Cricetulus griseus: one gene and its partners. The protein of the gene in region 3 purifies or fractionates together with the protein of the main gene of each other region. This does not show direct contact. Links are inferred from orthologs where the notes say so. Each region holds a gene or a part of one and is shown on either strand. Other genes may lie near its edges.

What was found. Proteins that work in one complex are often made in the same cells at the same time.
Region 1: the proteins of Mapk1 (region 3) and Dusp9 purify together in Homo sapiens (affinity purification with mass spectrometry; 5 studies listed by BioGRID and IntAct, with this or other methods). This does not show direct contact. The link is inferred for Cricetulus griseus from reciprocal best matches to the Homo sapiens genes MAPK1 and DUSP9.
Region 2: the proteins of Mapk1 (region 3) and Dusp4 purify together in Homo sapiens (affinity purification with mass spectrometry; 6 studies listed by BioGRID and IntAct, with this or other methods). This does not show direct contact. The link is inferred for Cricetulus griseus from reciprocal best matches to the Homo sapiens genes MAPK1 and DUSP4.

Annotation. Positions count from the first base shown.
Region 1 is NC_048604.1:2,101,938-2,105,812, forward strand, and holds Dusp9 (dual specificity protein phosphatase 9), read right to left. Parts: upstream 2,505-3,875; coding exon 2,132-2,504; intron 1,595-2,131; coding exon 1,139-1,594; intron 828-1,138; coding exon 502-827; downstream 1-501. UniProt on the Homo sapiens protein: Inactivates MAP kinases. Has a specificity for the ERK family.
Region 2 is NW_023276807.1:50,092,658-50,096,642, forward strand, and holds the start of Dusp4 (dual specificity protein phosphatase 4), read right to left. Parts: upstream 2,802-3,985; 5' UTR 2,364-2,801; coding exon 1,931-2,363; intron 1-1,930. UniProt on the Homo sapiens protein: Regulates mitogenic signal transduction by dephosphorylating both Thr and Tyr residues on MAP kinases ERK1 and ERK2.
Region 3 is NC_048597.1:72,356,858-72,361,106, forward strand, and holds the start of Mapk1 (mitogen-activated protein kinase 1), read right to left. Parts: upstream 2,803-4,249; 5' UTR 2,588-2,802; coding exon 2,475-2,587; intron 1-2,474. UniProt on the Homo sapiens protein: Serine/threonine kinase which acts as an essential component of the MAP kinase signal transduction pathway. MAPK1/ERK2 and MAPK3/ERK1 are the 2 MAPKs which play an important role in the MAPK/ERK cascade.

The sequences.
Region 1 (3,875 bases), on a different chromosome or scaffold from region 3:
CCCAGAGCCACAAGAGGTCTAAGCGCTAGCCAGAGAGGCAGGAAGGAGACTACACCAGTGAAAGCTGTGAGACCTTTTCCCACAAGTGGCCATTTGGGGACAGGGAAGGAACTAAGAGCAAGTCCCTGTGGCAAAGTGTGATATAATCTTCCTGAAGAGGAAATGGCAAGGGACAGAGCCCAGGCACCAGGCAGCAGTCTGGAATGGTCTCTTGGATAGGAAGCCCCACTCCCACCCCGAAAGAATAAAGTAACAGTCACAGAAGAGGCATGGTCCTGGAGCATGGTCCTGCCCTAAAGTGGTGCGAGTCAGGTCTGTATCCATGGACCCACCCATAGGCACGTGTAATAGAACTGGGGTAGGGCAGGTCTCTGCTGTGTTCCTGCTTTGCTGCACCACCCCCGCTTGAGGTATTGAGCTCCCCCCCCCATTATGGCTGCATCCCATCCCTGCTAATACATGGGTCATAGGTAGGGACCAGCCCAGCAACTCCACATGGCTTTATGTGGGGTCCAGCTCAAAGACCCCATCGCTGGTAGGGGTAGTAAAGAAAGAAGGTGGGTCTGAGACAGTGGACTCTGGTCCCCCACTGCCCTGTCCCCCAGAGCGCCTCTCCTCCAGGCGCAGGCTTCGCTCAAAGTCTAGCAGCTGGCCCATGAAGTTGAAGTTGGGCGAGATGTTAGACTTCTTCCGCTTGACCAAGTCGTAGGCATCATTGAGTGAGAGGTGGAGCTTCTGCATGAGGTAGGCCACGGTGACAGTGACAGAGCGGCTGACTCCTGCCAGGCAGTGGACGAGCACCCCACAGTTCTGGGACAAGGCCTCATCTAGGTAGAGCAGACAGAAACATCCCCCCACAAGGCAAGGATCAGCATGAATGAGGCCAAAGCCCAGTGAATTTTGGGGGATATCATCACAGTCTCTCCACCCCACCTAGCCCTTATCTGGGAGGTTTTACTGGCAGCTGACCTGAGCTCTACTCCCACTTCCCCAAGTGCCTTGTCTGCTCTGGGTGAGGGTAGCTAAACTAGGCAAAAACTCCTTTACAGGAGAGGGTAAGGAGCAGGACAGACCAGGAGTCAGTCTAGTAGGTGGGGACAGGTGGAAAGAGAAGACAGGGAGGATAGGGAGAACTCACCAATGAATGCAATGGCCTCTGGAAAGAACTGGGACAGATTCTGGCTCCAGTGGTCAGAGATGGGGATTTGCTTGTAGTGGAAGTCACCATTCTTCTCAAAGAGGTTAGGTAGGTTGGGGGTGACATTGAGAATATAGCGGATGCCAAGCTTGGCTAGGCTCTCTAAGTTGGCTGAATCTCGGGCACTGCCTAGGTAGAGATTGGGCAGGATCTGGACTGGGAACGGTGGTAGCAGCCCAGCTGGAGGGGATGTGGTACTCTCCGAATCTAGGCCACAGCTCATGGAGTCACGGTCGGCCTCAGACTCTGCATCAGAGGTATCAGAGCCCAAGCACAGGCCACCTAGCCCCACCACAGGCACTGGGCTAGGCAATGCGGCCAGGCTTGATCCAGCACAACCACTGAAGCTGGTTTCACAAAGGTGAGGACACTCGGCCTGGAATTTGCTGAAACCACCTGTCAGGAAAGAAAGAGGTGCTCTTGCTATTATAGCCAGCTGGGCAGCCAGGAATCCCTAGCTGAGGCTAGGGAGGTGACCCTAACAACCTAGGTGGGTTGCAGATATTGCCGAAGGGAACACACAAACCAGCAGTTTAATCTTTACTGGAGAGCCACGTGTGGTGCATACTATGGACAGCCATCTCTCACTTAGCACTTGTGGCTGTCTCTCTGTATGGTGCAGCCGCTTGCTCTAGGGAACATCCTGTGAACTATGTTGTTTCAGGTCAATTCTCCCTATTTTCCAGATTTATAAATGGGCTTGGACGGATGAAGGATTTGCCCAAGGTCACACTTAGGTCTGCCTTCCCAAAAGCTGTCTGGTAGGTTACTGGGAGCAAGTATTATATTAACCTACATTTTAGACAAAATGCGATGGGGTTTGCCCAAGGATAAAATAATTATGAAATCCCCCTTGGAAGGCAGGACCGTCTCCTGACCTGAGGCCATCACAGGTTCCCTGTGCCCTCTCTCAGCCCACTGCACCTCACGTACCCTGTAGGTAGTAGGACAGGTAGCCTTCTTCCCGCAGCTTCTGGAGCAGAATGCCCAGCACCGAGTCAGCTTCCCACTCTGGGGCTTCGGCCTCTGCTTCTCCATGCCTGGATCGGCCACTACCCTGGTCGTATAGGAGCACAGGGGCGGGTGGGGGAGGCTGCAGCGGTGGCCCAGGCAAGAGTGAGCGTACGGACAGGCTCCCTCTCCGCAGGCGGCGCAGCATCAGGGCAGGCAGGACCACGCTCAGCGCCCCGCAGATGCGCGCTGACTCGTACAGCTCCCGGCTCCGGCAGTCGAGCAGTAGAAGCTGTGGGCGCGGGGGCGACAGCTCCTGCCGCAGCCACAGGCACGAACGACCCAGACTCTCCATGGGTGCGCAGCGTTCTGCACTTCTGTCCGTCGGGCAGTGTGTGCTGTGGAGAGACCTAAGGCGCAGAGTGAGGGAAGGTTTGTCTCTACTCTCGCAGTGTGGACCAGGCTACTGAGACGGGAAGTCAGGCCCTGTCCTGAGGGCAGGCGCCCAGTGTCCCTGCAGGGACATTCCTCCACCGCCTGCTTCTCTCCTTGCGCTCCACCCACAGTGAGAAAACCAAGGAAGGCGCCCCAGGAAAAACACCCGAGGCCGCCGCCACTGGGGTGTTGCTCCCTGTCCCGCTTAGATGGAGTTTGTGTAAGACATACCCCAGAAGGAGAAAGTCTAGCGGCCTCTTGAATGAAGACTTTCTTTTTTTGGGGGGGGGGGGATTCTAGGAGGACTAAATCCAGTTCCCTCCACACCCGTTTTCTGACTTTCTCACTCGCCCCGATCTCCATCACTCCCCAAGTTCGACTTGGGGTGTGTGGAGAAATTGGGTTCAAGGCCTGAATCTTCTCCAAGGCCAGGAAGAACCAGAAAACAAGAGGGTCACCGAGGTGATGGGCCTAGGCGAGTCCTGTAAGAGCTGACTCGGCCCCACTCCTCCCCACCCCAGGAGAGAACAAAAGGAGAGACCTGGAGCCAGATCCAGAGGCAGGCGGCCGCGCGTGGACGTCCTGGCCACAGCTAGTGCCAGGGCAGGGCGCAGGTATCGTCCCTGGAGAGGGAGTCCCCAGGTTTGGGCGCTCGGAGAGGGCGGGGTGGCGGATCAGGCTCGCACGTGGAAGCCAAGCCTCGCGCCACTCGTGCGCTGGCCGCTTCCTGGCAGCCGGATCCAGCTTCCACCTTGGGAGCCGCGCAGCCTTCGGACCGACTTAGTAGCTGCTCGGAGGGGGGGGGGGGCGGTGGGGTGGCGGGGCGGGCATACAGGCCAGGCCAGCCAACCAGTGAGAACGAACAGCCGGGTGGGAGTTGCAAGCAGCAAGCTGAGCTAGGGCTTCCACCCAGGCGGGACTGGGTCGGGGCAGAGGCCAAGGGCAGGTCGGGGGCCCAGCAGGGGACCAGTGGCAGTTGCCCCTGCTCGGCGCCAGTCTGGTCCCTGGAATCAGGAAGAGGGGTGGGGACAAAAGCCCAGCACCCCAGAACCAGAAACTGCCTCAAACAACTCACTTAATAACCCTTAACTATTAGCCTTTGTCTGGAACTAGATGGCCCCCATCTGTATAATGGGCTATCCAGAGCCATCCAATTTGGCTGTGAAATGCCACCGAAATACTGAAGGCACAAGGCAGCTCCTGTGTTCCTTATTCTCATCTGGGCTTCATTTGTACAGGCCTGGCTACAGGTACCCAGGAATTCTGAGCACCCAACTCTATTAAACTCGGG
Region 2 (3,985 bases), on a different chromosome or scaffold from region 3:
CTTACGTCAGTATTTGCCCTGAAGCGTTTTCAGAACTGGTCTGGCCTCCGGGTCTCCGGATCCCAATCAGCGACTGCAGAGTGCTGCGAGCCATGAAATTTAACCCTCCCAGTGCGCCAGGTCGTGGAGCCTGCGGCCCGGAAGGAAGCCTTAAAGCGCTCAGGACGAAGGCCAGCAGCAGCCTCTCCAGGGCGGTCCCCTACGGATTTTTTTCCAGGAAGGAAAACAAAACAATCCCTGACTCCACGTGGGGCTTAGTTAGACTCTCCCGAAGCCAGAGTAGGAAGGTGTAGCCCCGCTTTCTCAATCCAAGGGCTGAAGAACCCAGGACAGCCAGAGAGAGTTCCCCAACTTCCACCCCAATACAGTGTCACCTTTCCCACCCGCGCGATCTCGACTGGGAAGAGCAGGCAGGCTGGAACAATAGCACAGACGTGCAGCTTGGGGTCCAAGCAGGACCCCTCCGAGAGAAGAACACGGGACCTGAGCCTGACCCGGGGCTCCGGGTACCCTGTAGGGCTCGTCTCTGACCGCTGGGCGATCGTGAGATCCGGGACGAGTCTTCCCGGCCGTCGCTCCTAAAACGATTTAGGGAAAAGCCCGAGAGACTAGGACTCCCCTGGAGAAGCAAAAGGCGGCCCTCGTGAAAAAAGAAAGAAAAGTAAGCAAAATCGCCTTAGCAGTTCAGGCTCAGGTCAACAGCAGCGTTTCCCCCAGCAGCTGACGGGTCAAACGGTCAGGAAACAACTGCAGAGAACAAAGCCCCCCGCTGTTGCGCAGGGCCCGCTCGCCCGCACCCAGCAGCTTCCCAGTGCTTTTCCGAGGGGATCGGAGAAAAGGGTTTTTCACCCAGCCTCCCTTCCTCCCGGTGGACAGGTTCCTGGAATAAAAGTGTAATAAAAGGGACCAAGCGCCTCCACAGAGAAAGGGGCGGCTCTTGGCAGCCGGGGATCCGAAATACCTCCCGGGTTCAAAAGCGAAGACCCGACCCGCGCGAAAGAATGCGCGGAATGCGGCGGCCGGAGCTAAGGGCGCAGCGCGGCAGGGGGCGCCCGACCCCCGCGCTCACCGCGGGTTCCGCAGCCGGAGGGCCCGCACAGACGCTGGGTTGGCAGGTGCGGCGAGCCATCGGTCCCTTTCTCCAGGGACTAGGACAGTGTGCGATCTTTTGGAGGTATCTGACTTCTACATTTGAGAAGCCACCTTCTCTCCGGCCGCCTATTTAGGCCAGGGTTCGCTTCAACCAGGCACGCGCCGCCAGCAGAGAGTCGAGAATGGTGTGTGAACAAAAGGTAGTGATTCTCCGCTGCCAGGATTAGCGGGAGGAGACGCGGTTCTGCCTGGTGTCCCCCAATACAGCACTCCAGTCTCCCCGCTCCAGGACCCCAGGGCAGGGAGAGTTGGCCGCCTTCCAGAAAAGCTCTAAGTTGGGGCAGCGGGAGACAGATTAGAACGCTCCCCAGCTCTGCAACCCAATTCTCCTTCCAGCATTTACCAAAGGCAGGATTGTGTACGAACACTCGAGGCAGATCCCACCTCGGCGTTCACCTTCCTTCACCCGTCTCTAGGGTTCTCGGGGTCACACCGAACCAACAGGCCTCTCTTGTCCCTGGGGGACTTAATTTAAGAGTGCGATCTCAGCACTCGAAGCTGGCCTGCGCAGAGCAATTGCTGCCAGCATCCAGGCCAGGGCTGTTCTTGTCAATAAACACGTAACTCTAGGAAGCGTGCGGGTGGCAGGTGGCTGGAGAAACACGCCAGCACTCCCCCAGCCCCAGACTTGGGCTCAAAACCACGGCAAGACCGTGCACACTGACACTCACGGGGACTCCCGCAGCCCGAAGTCACTCGAGTACTTCTTCCCATGCCCAGCAGGCCGCCAAGTCCCTTACACCTACCCATCAGCTCGCGCCCGGGCGCCCACGTTTACCTTTAAGCAGACAGATGTCTGTGCGCTCGGCGTTACGGCGCAGCGCTTGCACGACCAGCGACACGGTGCTGTCCTCGCGAAGGCTCTCGGCGCGCGGGCTGCGCTCGTCGTAGACTATAACGGCCGAGTAGAGACCAGAGCGCAGGCGGGCGCGCACTTCTTCCTCGGCGGGCAGAATCTGCTCCAGGCTCACTGAGCCCTTGGCCCTCCGCCTTACGATGGTGTTGCAGCGCACGTTAACCGAGCCTCGGATGTAGCCTGCGCTGTGAGCCAGGAACGGTCTGCAATCCAGCAGCAGGCACTTGCCGCTGCTCAGCAGCCCCAGGGCGCCGTGGTTGCCGCTGCCGCCTGCGCCGCCGCCGTTCTCATCTCGGTTCATCAGCCTTTTGAGCACGCTGCAGTCCATCTCCCGCAGTTCCTCCATCGTCACCATGTCGCCGGGAACTGCAGCAGCTGGGGAGCTGGAGAAGACCAAGGGCACCCGGGCCAACTAGGCTACAGAAAGGAGCAGGCTAGGGCTAAGAGGGCGCCTATCGAAGTGGCCGCAAACTTGGCCCCAGTCTCTTCTCCCCGTACCCCTTCCTCGACCCGCAGACTCGACGTTACATAGCAGTCGGAGCCTTCTCCGGTTCCAAAGCAGGCAGGCACGCGGTCCCCGGGGGAAAGTAGCCGATGAGGGGAGTGTGTTTACGAGAGAGGGCTACCCTCGGTTTGTTGCCTCTAATGTGTTTTGCTAGCTCTGCTGCTCCTGCCGCCAACCGCTCGGGCGCCGCTGTTCCACGCAACACCCCGCCGGAGCTGCGCGCACTACCCCAGCCAGAGTTACCTCCTCGGCTTAGAGATTTATTAATGCTCGCCGGCTCTCCCGGGGGAGGGAAGAGTCATTACTACCTCGCCAGGCCCCGCCCCCCGCGCGAGCTCCCCGCCCAGCCCCGCCCCCACCCCAGCTCGTGAATGGAGGGCCGGCCCCCTCGCACCCAGTCACGGGAACTCGACGTCACAAAGAGAGGAGTAAACAGGGCGCTCGGTGCTTGCTGCCAGGCCCATTCATAAAACTGAGACCTAGAGGAAAAAGGAGGCAGCCTCCGACCCGCCCGCGAGCCGGCAGCTCCCGGACTTTGTGAATGGAGCTGCGGCGCGTCTCCCTGTCCTTCTATAGCGCCGGAGCGCGGCGGAAGCGCAGAGATGGTAGCGGGTGGCGACGCCGGCCTAACCAAGGCCTGGGCTCTCTTGCTGGAGGTCTTCGCCTCTGCGATATCCCCCCCACCCCCGCGGCCCAGTCTTCTAGGTCTGGCTCCTTGCAGCTCAGTGGACCCGGGCGCTGTGTGGCTGCCACCCACAGAGCTTGGGACCTCCTCTCGCAGGACTTAACCTTGCTCTTGGGATCGTGCCGGTTGTGCTTCGTTTTGTTTTTAATGCGATTCCCCAGACGTTGGTTTTTACATTAGCGTGATCGATTTCCACCCTGGCCTATTTCAGCTTTATAGTTTCCCGTGGAACATGGGCAAACCCTGGCTTAGAAGATGAAAGGGAAGATCCTCGCGCCAAAGCCCAGTAACAAAAGAGAAGTGTAGAGTTTGTTACTTTACAACCCAGAGGGGGGCGTTAATTAGCCGAATGGTATGCCTAAGCTTACGTGGTTGGGGAGGGGAGAACACCCCGACGTTTTCCTCTTCGCAGGAAGTCCTCCCTCTCGGACACACGCGAACTGTCCTCTCAGGAAATGACTATTAGGGTCCACATTTGGTGCTAAGGAAGGTGCCGGAAAGTGTCCATGCGAAGACTAATCTTTTGAACGAATTTAATAAGCTCAGAGGCGATTCGAGTTTCTGCATTCCCTCTTTCTAGGTCACGTAGTGTCCGCACCCGGGTTTTACTTTGCCAGAGGCATTTAATTTCCCAAGGGCTTTTTGGCAAGAGGGGAGGTTTGTGCACGCACACGGTGGAGACCTTTCAGAAGCCAAAAATTATTCTGCCGCGATCTTGCCAAGTCTTGTTAGCAAGAATTAATCACCGAACGAGGGAATTACGGGGTTCGCTCGCGGCCTTGGTGGT
Region 3 (4,249 bases):
GCACCCACCACCCAATCTTATCTTTTTGTCTTCTACATAAGGAAGGGGAATCTAACCAAAATAGGCACAATTTCCAATGAACTACTTTAGGGAAAACCCTGCTAAAGGATAGCTGAAAATCCCTTAAACATTTTTTCATGGTTTTTAAAATTATTTTTTTAGTATGTTTATGTACATATGAGTTTTCTTTGAACCACATATGTGCAGATGCCCTTGGAAGTCAGAGGGTCACCTAATGTAGATGCTGGGATCTGAAGATGGTCTTGATTGTTAAGCCTAGCTTTTTAAAAGATCACAACTATTCAAGCAGGCATTTAAGGTCAAGATGTTCTCCATAAACCCAGCTAATGATCAAATGCTAATGACCTATAATTAAAAATATTCTACAAATACTAAGATGTTATCAACCTGGAGATAAAAGGATGGATCCAGGATTCAAATTCCAATTGTACCTGCATTTTTTATTTGTTTGTTTTTTTTTTTTGAGACAGAGTTTCTCTGTGTAGCTTTGGAGCCTGTCCTGGCACTCCCTTTGTAGACCAGGCTGGCCTGAACTCACAGAACACATGCCTCTGCCTCGCCTCCTGGGATTAGAGGTGTATGCCGCCACCACCACCTGGTCTACACTTTTCTTAAAATTAAAATTTGTATTTTTAAATTTAATTTATTTCACAAATATGGGTATTTCCCTCAAATTTGTGTCTAAGGAACATCTGATCCTCTAGAACTGGAGTTACTGACAGTTGTGAGCTTGCAGGTGGGTACTGGGACTAGAACCCAGAGCTGCAACTGCTCTTCACTGCTGAGTCATCTCCCCAGCCCCTAAAATTTGAATTTTAAAGAGAACTTTGCACAGCAGCTGTAAACTTCAAAGGTTAAGTAACTCCACAGCAGCAATAGCACCAGAATCTAAATAATCCATCTTATCAAACAGAGGTGGTTGTGGGGAGTCCAAATGACATATCCTCAATTTTTGTGCCTATTTAAAATAAGCTAGTTTTTAAAATAAATGAAACTATAACTGGCAATCTTCAGTATAATAAGAGAGTTACTGGCATGCAGGTACAAGAGCAGCAATATGTGCAAGACAGATGTGAAGGGGAAGTACTTTTTTAAGTACTCCTTTATAAGTCTTTAATTGTGACCTAATTTAATTTGTTTTGACTCCCAAGACCAGTTCACCTTTATCTTCATAGTTGTACACTGTGAGTCTTTTTAAAAAGAACGTTAATTATTCTATCTAGTTAAGACAGTTGGTGGAAAACACGTCTTTCCTACCATTTCTAAAATTATGACCATTCAAATTTGAATGCATTTCTGAAATAGACTTGCTCATCAGGAAAATATGCTAAAGTTCCAAGATTATTACTAACATTAAAGAAAGGCATGTGTAATGACTGAAGAGCTGCAGCATTTGAAACAGGATCTGTCTATAATCAGAGCCTGGTTCTAGTCCTTCGCCCTTGGGAAAGGACTTCCTTTCTATACCTTATCTGAAAGAGGGTATCTTTTTCCTCAAGATGGCTATCCAGACAAAATTAAACTATTCGGATAGCAGAGTATCTCAGAGACCTTCAATAAATTAGTTTTCTTCATTTAGCACAAAAGACACAAATTTAGGGGTAAGAAAACCTACTCCCACAAGTTTTCAGTACAAAACACAAATACTTGTTCCAGTAAAAACAACACACTTCATCATTCCACAATCAGGTGAGAAATCCTACAAGTGACCATGCAAAATTAGGTCTGAAAATACTCGATGGTAACGAAGGAGTTAAAGTCAAATTAGGCCCAATTCCAAATACATCTTAATAACTCTTTAAGAGTGATGCTAGCTTATCCTTCCTGCAACGCAACGATATTTACATCCATTTTGAAACTTCAAGATTTAAATATCCTCACAACCAACGCTGGTGTCATTAATGCTTTTTAGAAAGCCTAAGTTGGAACGCATCATTAGCTCCACTGAAGATATTTTGTGAAAGCTGTTCACGTATACACAAGGAAGGGAAGAAAAATATTTTGGTGTTCAGCACACAAGCCGAGGATTCTCGCTTGCAAAACCACGGCCGCCTCCACCACCACCGACAAGCCTGTGATGGAATTCCTGGTTTTACGATCTAATGTCAAAGAAGGCGGCTATAATGCCATAAATTAGGGGACACGGTGCACTTCCGTTCCCGTCCCAAGGGAGAAGACTCCAAAGTACGAGCTTGAGACCAAGTCCTCGGGTCCTGACCTCAGTGTGGGGTGCCCCTCCAACGGCAAACGAGGGGCAGCCCAGGAAGCACCCCAGCAACAACTAAGCCTCGACGGGCTCCGTGATTGTGGACCAAAGAGGAGTCAGGGGTCCAGGTCGCTGCAGAACGCGAGGCCAAGGCGCGGGAAGGGCCGCGGCTGCGTCCAGAACAGCCAGGGGCACAGGCAGGGGTGACCGGGTGAGGCCGAGCTTGCAAACCGGAGTAGACACTCACCAAACCATGCCGTAGGCGCCCTCTCCGATGTACGAGAGGTTGGTGTAGCGCGGCCCCACGTCGAACACCTGCCCGCGGACCATCTCCGGGCCCGCCGCCGCCGCCGCCGCCATGTTGGCTGCCTAGTCGCCGCCGCCGCGCTGGGCTCGACGCTTCGCGGCCGCCGCTCGGCTTGTGCAGCGCCTCCCGCAGGGACCGCGCTGCCACCCGTGTAGCCGCCGCCGCCCGCGACCGGGAACGCGGAACGAAGACAACACAGAGCAAAGAACTGACCGCCAGTGAACCACTGCCTGCCTTCCTGCCTGACGGGCGGGCAGCGAGCGGGAGGAGGGAGGGGCTGGCGTCGAGGGGCGCTGGGGCGGAGTCAAGGGCGTGAGCGCTGATTGGCTCCTCGCGGCGCTGGGCGGGGTCTCGAGGGCCGGCGGAAGCAGCGAACTGAGGCAGGAGCACTGCGGCTGCGGGGGAGGGCCGTCACGTGCGTTTGGAGAACCGGGCGTTCAGTTTGTTTGGTGGCTCTTGAAAGCCTGGTGGAAACCTGGGCGTAACGACCCCACAGTGTGTCCGACCGCTGTGCGGTGCCCAGGACGAACTCATGTGGAACCAGGCACTTGGCGTGAGACCGGAGGACTCAGCATACACCAAGCAATGGACCCCTGAGACAGGCCTCTGGGAATCCGTGGCCCTCACACTAATGAACTTAGACTGCCAAACTGGGACAGAAACCAAAAAGCATGACCCAGACTCAGAAAGATATTTTCACACCTAAAAAGTGTGAGACATAAGTGGAAACCAAAACACAAGGCATTGAATCCCCTAATTAGAGGTTTGTTCAAGAAGATTTGCTGAATACTTCTCCCTTCTAGGGTGAAGAGACAGACAAATACGATGCTCACTTAACTAAGTGCTGTGAACAATTAAAAACTGGAGGGAAGGTTTACAGAGTTGTGGGTGAGGACGCTGGAGAAAGACTGAAATCCAGGGACTGGACCCAGGTGTTGTGTAACCGTTTCCTGCGAGATTGAAACATTCTATCCTGCAGAGAAACTCCTTAAACAGGAAAGTAAACGGCACAAAGGAACTTTGGGAGTCCTTGAAACTGACCAGATTCACCGGGTTACTCCTTGCTGGAGTAAGCAATAAAAGTTGAGAATCCCTGTTCGATGAACTCCACGGAGCTGCAAAGAAGACTCAGCCAAACTGCTTAGAAGAAGCAGAAATCAGCCTCCTGCCTCCTGCCTGGAAGAGGTCTAGACCAACTTAAATAGCTGGAGGACACTCTTCAACTTTGCTGGTATCCATACTCATCTGTAGTGACTAGGTGTGTATTGTGTCTTCTCAAGAAGTGTTTTGTCACACAACACCAGCTTGGTACAGATGAGCAGAAACCCAGATGGGCGTACTGAAATATAGCACAGTTAGAATGGCTGAAACATCTGAACAAGTTGTGGGTCAGAACCAGTCAGAAACACGAATGAACCCGAAGAAAATTGTAATCTTAAAGTAGGTGGGTGCCAAGGAGAGCAATGGTAAGATAGTGAATGACACAGTTTGTCTCTCAGGCATTACTACCCTGTCGTCCCTGGACGCAGACTCCTCTGTGGCCAGCAAATGAGATCTTAGACATCAATAAAGATCTTAAAGGCAATCTTAAAGATAAAAAAAAGGTAAATGTTTAAAAATAAAGAGAGGAACTGGAGGTGTCCCTCAGTAGAGTGCATGCTTAGCCTGTAGCAGGTCTTTGATTCTTTTTGCAACACTAAAGGAACAAAATCCTG